Linked DNA regions of Coturnix japonica. The protein of the gene in region 2 binds, or shares a complex with, the protein of the main gene of each other region. Links are inferred from orthologs where the notes say so. Each region holds a gene or a part of one and is shown on either strand. Other genes may lie near its edges.

What was found.
Region 1: the proteins of HCRTR2 (region 2) and HCRT are in contact, whole or in part, in a cryo-EM structure (PDB 7L1U), measured with the Homo sapiens proteins. The link is inferred for Coturnix japonica from reciprocal best matches to the Homo sapiens genes HCRTR2 and HCRT. Residues at the interface, in NP_001371201.1 of Homo sapiens: Thr111, Val114, Trp120, Pro131, Gln134, Thr135, Val138, Gln187, Val209, Cys210, Asp211, Phe227, Thr231, Ile320, Ser321, Asn324, Lys327, Arg328, Phe333, Ala334, Thr336, Arg339, Val342, Tyr343, Phe346, His350, Tyr354; in NP_001515.1 of Homo sapiens: Asn89, His90, Ala91, Ala92, Gly93, Ile94, Leu95, Thr96, Met97.

What each region holds. Positions count from the first base shown.
Region 1 is NC_029542.1:4,470,267-4,475,781, forward strand, and holds HCRT (orexin), read right to left. Parts: upstream 2,220-5,515; 5' UTR 1,794-2,219; coding exon 1,773-1,793; intron 1,349-1,772; coding exon 923-1,348; 3' UTR 793-922; downstream 1-792. Other genes in the region: GHDC (GH3 domain-containing protein), read right to left, coding at 3,009-3,194, 3,364-3,473, 5,047-5,122, 5,321-5,515. UniProt on the Homo sapiens protein: Neuropeptides that play a significant role in the regulation of food intake and sleep-wakefulness, possibly by coordinating the complex behavioral and physiologic responses of these complementary homeostatic functions.
Region 2 is NC_029518.1:80,004,535-80,012,273, forward strand, and holds the start of HCRTR2 (orexin receptor type 2), read right to left. Parts: upstream 4,780-7,739; 5' UTR 4,275-4,779; coding exon 4,046-4,274; intron 1-4,045. UniProt on the Homo sapiens protein: Nonselective, high-affinity receptor for both orexin-A and orexin-B neuropeptides. Triggers an increase in cytoplasmic Ca(2+) levels in response to orexin-A binding.

The DNA.
Region 1 (5,515 bases), on a different chromosome or scaffold from region 2:
AGTGTAGTACCCAACACCCTGCTCCCATCCCTGGGGGGCTCCTGACCTGGCTGCAGCTGTCACACTGGGCACCGGGAATTTGGGGCTGGGGCAGAGTGGGTCCCTGCCCTCTGCACGGTGAGCCATGAGCTTCTCCCGCTCCCTCCTGGGGCAATCAGTGCAGGAAGGGCGCGGAGACCCCCGTCAGCCCCGGGAAGGTCTCCCGGGGACACCGACAAGGGGACGGGACACTCGCGGCCGGCTCGAGGGCTGCACGTCGCGGGGTAGATGAAGCCCGGCCGAGGGACAGACAGCTTGGGGTCCGCGACCCGCCCAGCCCAGGGGGCTTCGAAGTCATCCCGAGCAGCACCGCCTCCCTCTGCCCGCCCTCCGCCGCGGTCCCGGGACGCAGCCGTACGTGTGCCGTCAAACCGGGTGGCGATGGTGTCGAGGAAGGTGTTCTGCGGAGCCAGCAGACCCTTCATCACTGGCATCGTCCTTCCGGGCCGCCCACCCCGGGCTGCGGGACCGAGCACCGCCTCCCCAGGACCCCTCCGCAGGTGCTGCCCCCAACGGCGCGGGTAATCCCGGCTCGGCCCGGCCCGCCCTGGGCTCCGGCTCCGCCCCCAGCCCCGCCCAGGGCACCGGGGGGGTCTCGGCACCGACGGGCACCGGCAGCTGTTCGGCTGCGCGCGGCTCTGCCCCGGGACCCGCTCGGTACCGGCTGCAACGGCCCCCGGGAGGGGCGGGATCCATCCTCGGGCCGGGCAGCAGCACCACAGCCCTCCGGGCTCCTGCAGGGACGAGGCCGGCTGACATCAGGCTACCGTTTATTGTAAAAGGCCAAGTACGCCGAGCAGCCTTGGCCAGGGCCACAAGGAGGTATTTAGAAGTGCCATTGACACCGAGCCCCCCGCGGATCCCCCCCACCCCGCAGCCCATCTCAGTAAAAGCTCTTTGCCGTTCCCCAGCCCTTGGTCAGGTCCTTCTCCGCGTGCTCCTGGCACTCGCTGGGGCTGCCCGCAGTTCCCCTCGGGGTCGCCGCCTGCTGAGCGCCCGCTGCGCAGCTCAGCGCATCGCGGCAGGCGGCGTCGGGGCGCTCCTCGCGTTTGCCCATGGTGAGGATGCCCGCCGCGTGGTTGCTGGAGCCGTGCAGCAGGCGGTACAGCCGGCTCTGGAAGGCTGTCGGGATGCTCTTCCTCTTGCCCAGCGTGAGGATGCCGGCGGCGTGGTTGCCCATGCCGTGCAGGAGGTCGTAGATACGGCAGGAGCAGGTTTTCTGCCGGCAGCACTCGGGCAGACTCTGCCGGGCCCTGGCCAGGGAGCAGAGCAGCAGCAGCAGCAGCAGGAGGCAGGCGGATCGCTGCAGCTGCACGAGAACGGCCGCGTTGGTGCAGGGCTCAGCCCCCACCCTGCAGGTTTCCTGCTCATCTCCGCTGCTGCAGCACCCACAGCATCACCCCCCTGGGGCACATCCAGGGACAGACGGGACCCCAAGGAGATTCGCTCCTGCCCCCAAAACCCAGCCTAAAAAGCACACTGTGAGCAGGAGTTGGCTGCAGGTATATTCACCGACACTTACCTGTGCTGACACAGCCAGCACCCTCCCGTCATCGCTGAGTGCTGCAGGAGGAACTGGGAGCACCCACACATGGCTCGTGCCAAAGCACGGTGCCGCATGCAGCGTGTGCCCCGCACCCACACAGGGCCGAGCCCCCCGACCTCTGCTCAAAAGGGAACCGGCCCAGCCCTTACAAAACCCCAGCAGTTCCTCTGCCCACCCCCAGCCCCACCTTGGCATTGGGCACCTCCATCCTTCTGGGTGTCTTCAGGTGGCCAAGCGGTGCTGGCTCATGTCCCGCTGGGGCTGAGGAGCGCGGCCGCCCCGAGCCGCACACCGGGGCTTTATAGGGGCGGCCCCTCCCGGCCCCCGGCCCCGCACAATAGCGCTGCCAAAAATACCGTCCGGTCTCCGGGAGATGCGCGCTCTTTGTTGTCGGTAGCTTGGAGACCGGTCAGGCCTTTCCCCTCATTTGTGGCTCTGTATTATGCGGGTGCGGCGCGGGACCGGGGTGCGCGGCACTAATGAAGCCATAATTACCCGAGGGACCCGCGGCCCCACAAAGCCGCGTGAAGGTCAGAGCCGGAGAAAGCGCCAACCGCTCCCAACAACGGCAGCTCTCAGGTCAGCTCCGCGTGGCCCCATTAGGCTAATTACCGCCCGAACAAAGGGGCGCCGGGCAGCCGCCGGCTGCGAACCGCGATGACGCGCGGGGACGGTGCAAATGGAACCGGCAGAAGGACGGTGCCCGCATCGCCACTGCCACCAGCACAGACAGGGACAGCAGCACACGCTGTGGGTCTCACACACTTTTATAAACAGAGCGCTCTGCAGCCCCAGACCACCCCTCACCCACCGCCCACACCTGCGGTGTGCTCCCCTGTGGGACAAGACCGGGATAAGTTCCCTGATGCCAGAGGACACAGCCCCCAGCAGCTCCGCTCTGCAGTGGTCCCACAGCCCCTGACCCATTGCCAGCTGTTCTACAGGTGCCTTCCCAGCCCCTCTGCACAGCAGGGGCTTGAGGATACCTGGGAAGACCCTGTGAGAAGGGACAGGGGTCGGTCAAGCCCCTTCCGGCCATGCAGGCTGTCTCCAGGGCCAGCAAAGGCAGAATCTGCAGCCCTGACAGCCGAAGCCCACAGCTGGGGCGGTTCTAATGGGGAGGGGGGTGGCACAGCAGGCTGGGGGTGCACGCACACAGCTGGGTGCCAGCAGCCCAACCCTCTGGCCCCACTGCACAGCACCCATTCTGGAAGCAGATGGAAGAGGCCTGGGAAGTCAGAGTGAACAGACAGGAGTGAGCCCCCCCCCAGTTCCCTGCAGTGCAGGCAAATGACTGTGCTGGCCCCACTTCAGCCCCTCAGCATCCTTCCTGCTCCCATCCCCAACTGTGCCACAGGTTCTCTAGTCCCTGTTCCTGCAGCAGTGGCTGCTCTGTGGGGGCTGCCTGAGCCCCAGACTGGGGTCAGCAGGACGCTGCATCACTGCCTCCTTCTGCCTCAGGGATGGGCTCCAGCGGCGCGCGCAGCCGGGAGGGCTCCGGCGAGGCCAAACCGTTCCTGCCGATGCCGCAGGACTGCCCAGCGTTGTGGATCTGCCAGAGGTTGTCCAACGCCTCCGCCTTGGCGTGCTTGAGAAGGTCAGCCTGGCCCTGCCGGGGGAAGAAAACATCAGGGGATCAAGGATGTACTGGGCACCGGCTCATCATGGACCACAACCAGCCTGTGCTTCTGGAGCATCTTTTGATGCTGGTCCCACCTCCCTGCACACCAGCAGGGTCAGCAGTGGGGGACAGGAGCACAGGAGCATGTTCCTCTCACCTTCAGGACGGTGATGTTCCAGGCAAAGCTCTCCAGTGCTTTCTGCAGCTTCCGTCCCCGCAGCCCCTCCTTGGCCTCGATGCGGTGCAGCTCCTTGTGGAAGTCCATACCTGGGCATGTGGCACATGGAGCCGTGCTCAGCACCACCGTGCGTGGGGACAGCCATTGCCACAGGGGATGGGGATGGGGATGGGGATGGGGTGTCTTTCACCCAACAGAGAACTTCACGGTCAGCCTCAGCAGCCCTGAGCCTCCTCCCCTTAGAGAATGATGTTCCAGCACAGCCCCCACCAACTTGCCCCCAGTCCTTGTTGGCTTTGGATCCCAAAGCCCATAGGATCAGGATGGGCTGCAGTGGCCCCAGGCAGAGGCATTGCCCCCCCATAACTGCAGCCCACCCAGAGGGGCTCAAAGAGGAGCTGTTGCCCCCTCCCCCCCCATTCTGGAGCGTGTGCCCCCACACTGTACCGCATGATGTCCTCGTGAGCGGGTGCTAAATTTACCCCTCCCTGACGCAGCACTGTCTCTGGGCCCACACGAGGGCTCCCACACACGCCTGCTCACCCACACACTGCCAATCAGCTCACACCCCCTCCCTGCACCCCCAGCCCTGCCGCCGGCACCCCCAGACCTCCCCACAGCGCCCATAATGCTGTGGCTCAGCCATGGCACCATGGAGTGAATGGAGGTCATGGCTGCAGGACCACAGTGTAGGGGTCAGCACATCCCAGACCTCTGCCCCCAAGGAGAACAAGGGACACAGGGCAGCGCTCATTTCTGCAGCACAGCAGAGGGCTCCCACAGCCAAAGTAGTGCAGGAGATGCAGAGCCCACCCCAGCCTGCACCCCCAGCCCCCTTGCCGTGCTCCACATCACTGACGATGTGGCGATGCATCCACAGAATAAACAGGGCTGCTGGCAGCAGCTGTCACGGGTCAGTGTGGCACAGCGTGGACACTCTCCTCCCCACCCCATACAGTGTCCGGCAGCCCTCCAGCCCCACGGGTTACCCCCACACAGCCCTGGGGCCAGCAGTGCTATGGAGCAGCCACAGCTGCCTCTACAGTACACAGGATCCTGGCGTTGCCCATTAGTGCCCACCAGGAGCACGGTGCTGGGAGTGGGGCAGCAGTGCTGGGCAGCATTGGGGCCCAGGGCCAGGTAAGGCTGCCAGCAGCACCTGCCTGTGTGGGTTCAGCCATGTGTCTTTTAAGTCATAACATTCAGTTGCCACTTCTACCGTCAGCCTCAGTCTGTTATTTCTGATGCTAATTATATTCTGGCGTTTGGCAGCTAATGACTCTTCTCCGCTTCCTCATCAACCTCCTCCGCTCTGTGCGCTCCCTCCCAGCCCCCCCCAGCCCCCCAGCCCCAGCAGCACTCCCTCACTGCAGGCTCTGGGCAGCTCCCTGCACCACTCACAGCACTGCCAGGACATGGGAAGGGTAAAGAGCTGAGCCCTGGGCTGACCCTACAAACTCTCTGGAGCCAGGCAGGCACCCACACCACTTGCACTCTGCCATACACTGCAGGTGTGCAATGCACAGACTGAAATGCCAGCACACTGCTGTGCACAGCTCCAGAGCCTGGTGCTGTTCTGAGCAGATCCCCATGGGGACAGTGTCCCCAGGCAGCTCAGAGGCACAGCACCCTGCACACAGCCCTCAGCACCCCCAGACCCACCTGCCTGCTGTGCCTGGATGAGCTTGCTGTGCACCACGTCAGCAGACTCGATCAGCGTCCGGCTGGTCTGGATCATCTGAGGAAAGAGGGGCAGTGAGAGGAGCTGCACAACCCTGAATCCTCCGTGCTCCCCACCCCCCCTGCCTGCAGAGCACCTCCCAGCCAGCCATCCCTGCTCCGGGATGGGACCCATCCTGGGACACCACAGTGCACAGAGCTGCAGGCAAACACCTTGGAGCAGGACAGACCCTGAGTACCCTGAGCTGGCACTTACCGTCTCATAGGCAGTGAGGACCTTGCGCAGCAGGTCGGGGATGGGGCCCTGTGCCTCCATGGGGGGGTACTGCTCAGCCAGGTTGAGGGTGACACTGGGTGCGCTGTCACTGTGCAGCAGCCATGCAGCCACCGTCAGGATGCACTGCTTCATGTTGGCGGCGGGCGTCAGGCCACACAGCTCCTTGAAGGAGAC
Region 2 (7,739 bases):
AGGGAGGTTATAAGCAGAAAAGGGACCAACTTTACAAGGGGTGGTAGGACAAGGGGGAAAGCATTTAAATGAATAGAGGGGAGACATAGATTAGATGTTAGGAGGAAATTCCCTACTCAGAAGGTAGTGAAGAACTGGTTGTCCAGAGAATCTGTGGATACCAGTGGCAACTCTGGCTATGGCAGGAGAATTGGAACTAGATGATCTTTAAAGTCCCTTCCAACATAAGCCATTCTGTGATCCTGTAGTTCTATGAAGATCATGGCATCATTTACAGGAATGCATGGCTCATCCAGTTCTGCCAACACTTTCATGTACGCATAGATCTCAGTATTCTCCAGACACCTGGGGAGTGATAACAGAGCAATCACTGAAATGTTACAGTTGCCTACGGATAGCATTGACTAGAAGTTTGTTGTTAAAACCTTACATTCAATTTTTTCTTCTACACTCAGAAAGAAAATAGTCCTAAAATCAAATAATAATAGGTAAACATCAAATGAATGGTGCTGAGTTTATGAATCAGAATGTGAACTCTGAGGAAGAGACCACAGTTGGGTTCTGTACTGATGTCACTATAACATGGCAAAAGAGATTATTATAAAAGATGGAAAATAATAGAACTATCCAGAGAAGACTAGTTCTCTGTCAGTTAGGCAGGATTTAATTCTTAGGTGGAAAAAGAAACAAATATCACTATGTTTTGTGAATAAATAAGGTTTCTGAGTCCTCTGGATGATATTCTGCATGGTGTCCAATGCACAGAAGCCAGCAGTGCTGAAGAGCTTCATGCTGGGTGCTGGCAGGTTGCTCAGGCTCTCAGCCCTTGCCAGCAGTGAGAGTGCCAAGAGAGCCAGCAACCCGGCTGGCAGGACACTAGAAGGCTGCTTGTGTTGTGTCCTTTCCTTGAACACATCAAGTGATCTCTGCCGTACCATTTGGTTGTGATGAGTGCATGTTCCCTGAGGAAAAACATTTCATTAGAAAAGTTCTGACCTACTTGAATAAATACATTAAATGAGAACTATTCCCATTCTTTATCTGTGTAATTGCAGCTGAATTGGTGGGGCTGGACATTACTTATTTATCCCTTTTAGTCTTATTCCAGTTTTTAACCACTGCAACTACTTCATGAGGAATCTTTCTGCCCATAACCAGTGACCTCCATGCATACTAAGTATATCTTTCCTTCTTTAATTTCCCGCATTTCTATTTCAAGCACTTTTGTTTTAAATAGAGAAGAAGTAGACGATTAGTTCAAAGTCAACTGTTAAGAAGTACTTTGGTTTCCTCTAGCTTTGCAAAGAAGTTGTGATTTTGTTTCTGTGTAAGGGAATACTTTGGTCTTATATGAAAAACAGAAAGTCCTCATCCTCAGTGACTGTTCTGCTTCTACTGATAAACCATGCCTAAATGAAAAAGAAAACAGGACAAAACATACTGATGTTATCACCATGATTTCAGTTTATCTGAATGTCTCAAAACCTTCAAATCTGTTCCTTTTTAGTGGCTTCCAGTGAAATCACTGGTGAGCAGCTAGAGTGGGCACACACAAGAATTACTGATGTGAAGTACTTGAATGCTGTAATCAAACCTGCATTCAAACACAGAGGCTTGCAAACACCTTTCATTTTAGCTGGTTTGTGCAGCAGTTTGGACAGAGTGTGTCAACTCTCCTAATTAAACTGGAAGCAAAATAGCAATGCAGATCTTGCTGTATGCTACTATTAGCAGGACAATTCCTGCAGAGCAGATCAGCCCAAAGCTCAGTAAATGTCAATCAAAGTTCGAACTTTCTACCGTAGCTGTTAATTAAGTGTCAGAATGCTTAACTGTAGTTCATTACTAATACCTAAGGGTTGTGCTGTGCTTTCCACTTGCACAAATGTCATTCTGAGAGCACAGTGAGTGACCTCATTCTGTGTGAATGCACAATTGAAAATGATAACCATATATTAAGATTTTCAAGGGTCTTTCCAAAGTGCTAACTGTGTGAAATATGGACAAATGCAAGCAAAACTCTGACTTCTCATCTCACACTAGTCCAAATGCATTAGTCAAATCTAAGCAGAGGAATGTACTACATCATTAAGGATGATGTGATAAAGTGCTAAAACTTTACTGAAACACTGTTAGTCACTAAAACTGCATCTGGTTTACTTTGAGGAGATCCAAGATTAAATTACAGATTAACCTTAAGTAAGAACTTTTCATGCAGGAAATTTTTCTTCTTGGATACTTAAGAACACGAACCATTCTCAGATTTTCACTGCTGATCAAATAAACAAGGTTTCACAAAAATGTCTTTGGCAAGAGCACATCAGTTTCTCTCCTCAAAAACCAATGAACCTGCAATCAGCTTTCTTGCATAAAGATGAGACAGTGTTCAGCTAATGAGCACCTGCACCTGCAGATCCCAACAAGCTGGTAGTGAACAGTGGTAGCATTGTTGAAGGGTGAGATCTGTGTGATACACAAAGGCAAATGGCTTGGATAGAAGCAGTCCTGCCAAGGGAGAGGTGGGCGGACAGCTAAATGCCAGCTTTCACCCTAGGCACAAAGATAAGGTAGGCATGTCAAGGAGGAGAACCAATGATATTGTCTCTGTTTGCAAGTGAAAAGAGAGGAAATCTTTTCTTCTCGTGCTTCAGGGAGAAAAAAAAAAAAAGAAAAAAGAAAAAAAAGAAAAAGTGTAAACAGCTCCAATAGCCGAAGATTTGACCTTGAATATTGAAAGGCGAGAGGACAGCTTGTTTGCAGAATGGGTAGTGGGGGGCGGCTGAACACAGACAGTTCTAAAAGCTGTCCTCTTTCAGGATCAGACGGGAGGCACTTTTCATTCTAGTACAAAGCACAGGCTCTGTGCGAAGGCAGCTGTCTTTCACTGTGAGCGCAGAGCAGCTGACCAGCACACACGCTGTTACACAGCCTTTGTGGTGAAGGCTCCATGGGTTGGCCAAAGTACACTCTAGGTGTTTACCGGCAGCTCCAGACAAAAATAGCACCATCAGTCCATCGAAAAATAAAAAAGAGCCGTGAAAAACGTTGTCTTTGGCTGAAGCTTTATTTGCATCGTGCCTCGGGAAGCCTGGATCGCCGGCAGAGCGCATGACGTGCTGAAATTCATGAATGAAGGGCCCACATGGCAGGGCTGGGCGCTAGTGAGCCGCTCCGTTCATGAGAATGTCAGTGATGGGAATGAAAAATGCAAATGGCCGTGGCTCTGGTGGAGAGGATTTTCACGGCATACTCCGCTCCCTACGCGCACGTTCATTCACAAAGACGTTATTTATCGCTCTCAAAGCGTTCCGCGCGGCTCCGGATGGCGCAGGGACCCCCGCGGCCATCTCCCCCTCGCCGAGGCGAGGACGGCTGTCACGGCACGGTCACAGATCAGGCGGGGGACCAAGAGCAGCGCAGAGCCGCTGACCCCCGGCCCCCACACGGCCCCCGCCTGTCCCCGTCAGCGTTGCCCGGGGGAAGCGGCGAAGCCCCCCGCCGCCGCCTCCCACACGGGTACATGGGAGCGGGGAGGGGGGGGGTGAGCGGAGGGAAGGAGTCCGCCCCCGCCGCCGGGGCTGCGCAAGAGCCGCCAACTACCGGACCTGAGGGCGGACAGCCGCTCCGGCCCCTCGCTGCAGAGCGAGGTCCCGCGACCGCTCCCCAGCGTCTGTCAACCCGAGGCCGTTCCCCAGTGCCCGTCCGTTAGAAAACATTGTAGAAACGGTTGTAGAAACAGACAACCGCTGGAAAATGCCCGCGTTCTTGATTTCCAGCCCGGGGAACGAGGGGAACCGGCGGCCCCGGGAGGAATGAGAGGCGGGGCCGCAGCCGGGGCGCGTTGTTTCAGCACCTCATCTCGCGGACAGCGACGGAGCCCGCGGTGTCTCTACCCGGGCGGCCCCTCCGAGCTCCGAGCTCCGACCCGCCCCGGGGTCCGCAGCCCCCTCCCTGCAGCCCGGTTCTCCGCGGTTTGCAGCGGGGAGAGGCGAAATCTCCCCCGCGAGTGAAGGCAGGTTGGGCAAACTTCGGGAGCCAGACTCACCTAGCACGTTCCCGACGAGAGCCACGATGAACACGACGATGTATCCGGCTATTAGCGCCCATTCGTATTCCTTAGGATGCAAATACTCCTTCCAGAGGTAGCGCAGGAACTCCTCATCGTCGTAATCGGCGGATGGGGCTAAAAAGGGCTCCCGCGTTTCATTCAGCTCTGGAGAGGACGTCCAGTTCCTGCACGGAGGCGAAGCATCCTCGGGCTGAGTCCCGGACATCCCTGGTGGTGATCCGGGGGGCTGGAGGAACCCTCTCAGCGCTCCACAGCTCTCTCCCGCCCCTCCATTGAGACTTGTGATTGCCAGTGCCAAGCGGGGTGTGGGGAGAAAATGACGCGGGAACTTCGGGAACCAATGCGGGACCAGGCTGGGGCTTCGAGCCGGCCCCACACGCCCCGTTGCCTTTCCCCGGGCGGGCAGGGAGCGCAGCCTCAGCGGCCGAGGGGAAAGGCATCCAGACGGTTGCAATGCTCTCTTCTGAATCCACTGCTTCACTTTTCAGCTCTTCCGCGTTTGGACGTGAAAGAGCATCACCTCTAGGGGAAAGGACGTGAATTCGACGTGCTGCTGCAGAGGACACACAGGATAAAGGGAGCTATGAAAAACGAGACTTTCTTGTCTCTTTGTGAAAGTTGTGTGATGCTACTTCTAATGAATAAACTTAACACAGAGCCAGATGTTCATGAACACCTAGCTCTAGTGGGCACTGGCTAAAACAGATGAATGGGAAAATCTCAGTTGCTATAAGCACCATTTCCATTATGAAATGATACATCTCACTCAGTTCAGTATCTATCTGCACTTCCAGAGGAAAGTGACTCTGCTTTGACTGTACTTCCAACGCATAAACTTAAGAGAGAGCCAGATATTCATAAACACTACAGTGCTTAGCTCTAGACAGCGCTTTAGCTTCCTGAATCCTTCATAAGCGTACAGGATTCCCTAATGCCTTCAAAGTCTAATCCAGCATTCTTCTACCAGATGTTGCCTTTGGGCACACATTTTTATAAACCTGCTCTCTTTAATACAGCTTTCCTTCCATAAAATAAAGAAAAAAATCCCATTTCTATTCCACAGGGAAGTTACATGAACCTTTTAGGACAAAGATATTAAAAAATGAGATAAACTTGGATACAGAGGTAAGATCAACACCTCACACAAACTAGAAAGGTAGATACTGCAAACCTCATAAATAAAGATTATACACTCCTCAACTAATGAAAACAGCTGAGGTTCTATCAGTAAATGTATGAATATTGAAAAGACATTTAAGCTCTCTTGAGAATGTGGGAATGCAGGTTTACTTGTCACACAGAACGAGACACATTTAAGGAGTTTGTTGTGGTCTTTACAGCAGACAGAATATGGCCATTTGGTGATCTGTAGAAGGAAGCTATACACATTTTTCAGCTTGTTTCATACATTAAAAAGTTGACCCATACTACTGGCTCAGCAGTAGTAAGGAATTGAATAAAAAGACAAATATTAAGAAACAACATGGTTTAATGAAAAATAGATCCTAGAGCTCTTTTTTTTTTTTTTTTCCAACTAGATTGTAAGTGTGATTGATAAAGGCATAAATGATTGATTATACACATTTATAAGTTTAGCACAAATGTGCTATTCCTAGAGTGCTGTAAAACATTTACTCTTATTGGTTCAGTACATTCTGATCAAGTAGAATATATGGTAAAAAATCAATACGCCACACATTATAAAAGTTAAAAAGTGGCTAATAAACAGATTCCAGAATGAAACAGTGAACATAGAGCCATCACTGAGCTCATGTATTTCTGATGTCAGTGCTGGATTCTGTTGTTCTCATCAGTCAATGACCCTGCAGAAGCTGGCAAGTTATCCAAAAATTAGCGATAATCAGCTATGCACAAACACCATCACAATTCTGTAGGCAGAAAACTTTGTGTGATAACTGATGTATGCCTATAGAAAAAGATGAAGATACATAGAAATGTGAGAAGAAATCAACTGAGCTAGAATATGCTTCAGCCACAAAAATCTGGTACTGGGGAAGTACTTCTCAAAGTGAGTCATTTTAGCAGTATATTTGAAAATCAAGATGATTGAATGCTTTTCTAAAAGATAAGTGCCAGCTGAAATGGGAATTAATTCAGAAAAGTTGTCTGACCTGTAGTATGCAAGAGGTCAGACTGGATGATTAGAGTAGTCCCTTCCGGCTTTCTAATTTGTGGAAATGTGTTTGTAGAATAGATTAATTTGATGAATTTTACAGCTGATTTATCTTTTAATTATATTATTTATAACAAGACCAGTGCAAGAGTTTAAGTCTGTTAAGTCTGTTTCTTTCATATGCATGTGAACAATAAATGCTGAAAAGTAATTCTTATTTTGTTACCCTGTCCCCCCTTTTTTATTAACAATTTAAAATTCTGTAACTTGTGGTTTTAAAACTCCTACAAAGAATTTACAGGTTGTTCAGCACTTTAAAAAAATAAAAGGGGAAGGGGGGGGAGGGAGGGGAATAAATTCAGGTGTATCTCTATTAAAATGTTTATCTAATTGGAATACTCTCTAGTACTGCGTGTGCCCTGGTGGCACAGTGGTAGGAATGCCACTTGCAACACCGCAGGCCCAGGGTTCGAATCCCCCCTGTGGTGCAAGTGGTAGAAGTGCCGCTCTGCTACACAGGAGGCTCGAATCCCGGGGGTTGGACTCGATGATCTCTAAGGTCCCTTCCAACCCGCACGAGACTATGATACTATGATGATGATGTGATACTTTAGTTATCTGAATTCTTCACATACACTGATATCATTTCTAATCCATAATTTTCCATTAGTAATCCCCAAATACTGAAATTATCAGCTCTGAAAGATATGTCCTGTGGCTTTCAGTGCCACTTATTGTATGATATTAGATAATGTGAATATAGATCAAACACCACTCTATGCTTCATTGCATCTGATAGCTAAATGGATCTGGAGTCCACAGAGAACAAAATGACTGTGCTTCAGCATCCAAACTTAAAGGTTTGTCAAGCACATTTTCTCTCTTCATAGTAAACATTCTATTGCTGACTTATGATTTTATTAATTGCACAAATTGGCAGCAGTTTCTCCTGTGTTAAAGACTAGTCCTTTCATATTAAACTGATTTTATTCAGAGGATTAGTTTCATACTATTCTATTACTATATCATATTTAGAACCTTTTATCAAAGCACGGTGGCTTAAAGATCCAGACTTAGGTTAAGTGGAAGCTGAGCCTTAGGATCTCTTGGCTGAACACTTAACGTGTTTTCATTCTTGGGAAGCAAACCCATAAACATGTCTGCTGAAGAGAAATAGACTGTGGTATTGGCAGTAGTGATGAATTGTGTGAATATGTCCTTCCTTTCCATTTTTCTTTCGCTACTCTGATTTAACAACTTTTCTCTGCCTCCTTTCTTGCTGTTATGAAATATGCCACATGATTGCTCAATAGAAAAACAGTCTTACCATTTATTTGCTTGAGCAGTCCTGCTCAGTCATATGTCATGTTTTGTCTGTGAAATCCCTGTGGTATCTTTCCTCCTGTAATGTTATTTCAAGGTGGAACTACTGCTTCCCTGGCAGCAGCACTAAGAGTTCTTGAAATAATTTGGACTATCATCAGCTAAATATTGAGAAGAAGGGAAGATGCTAAATGGGTAAACAGGGAGAAGCTG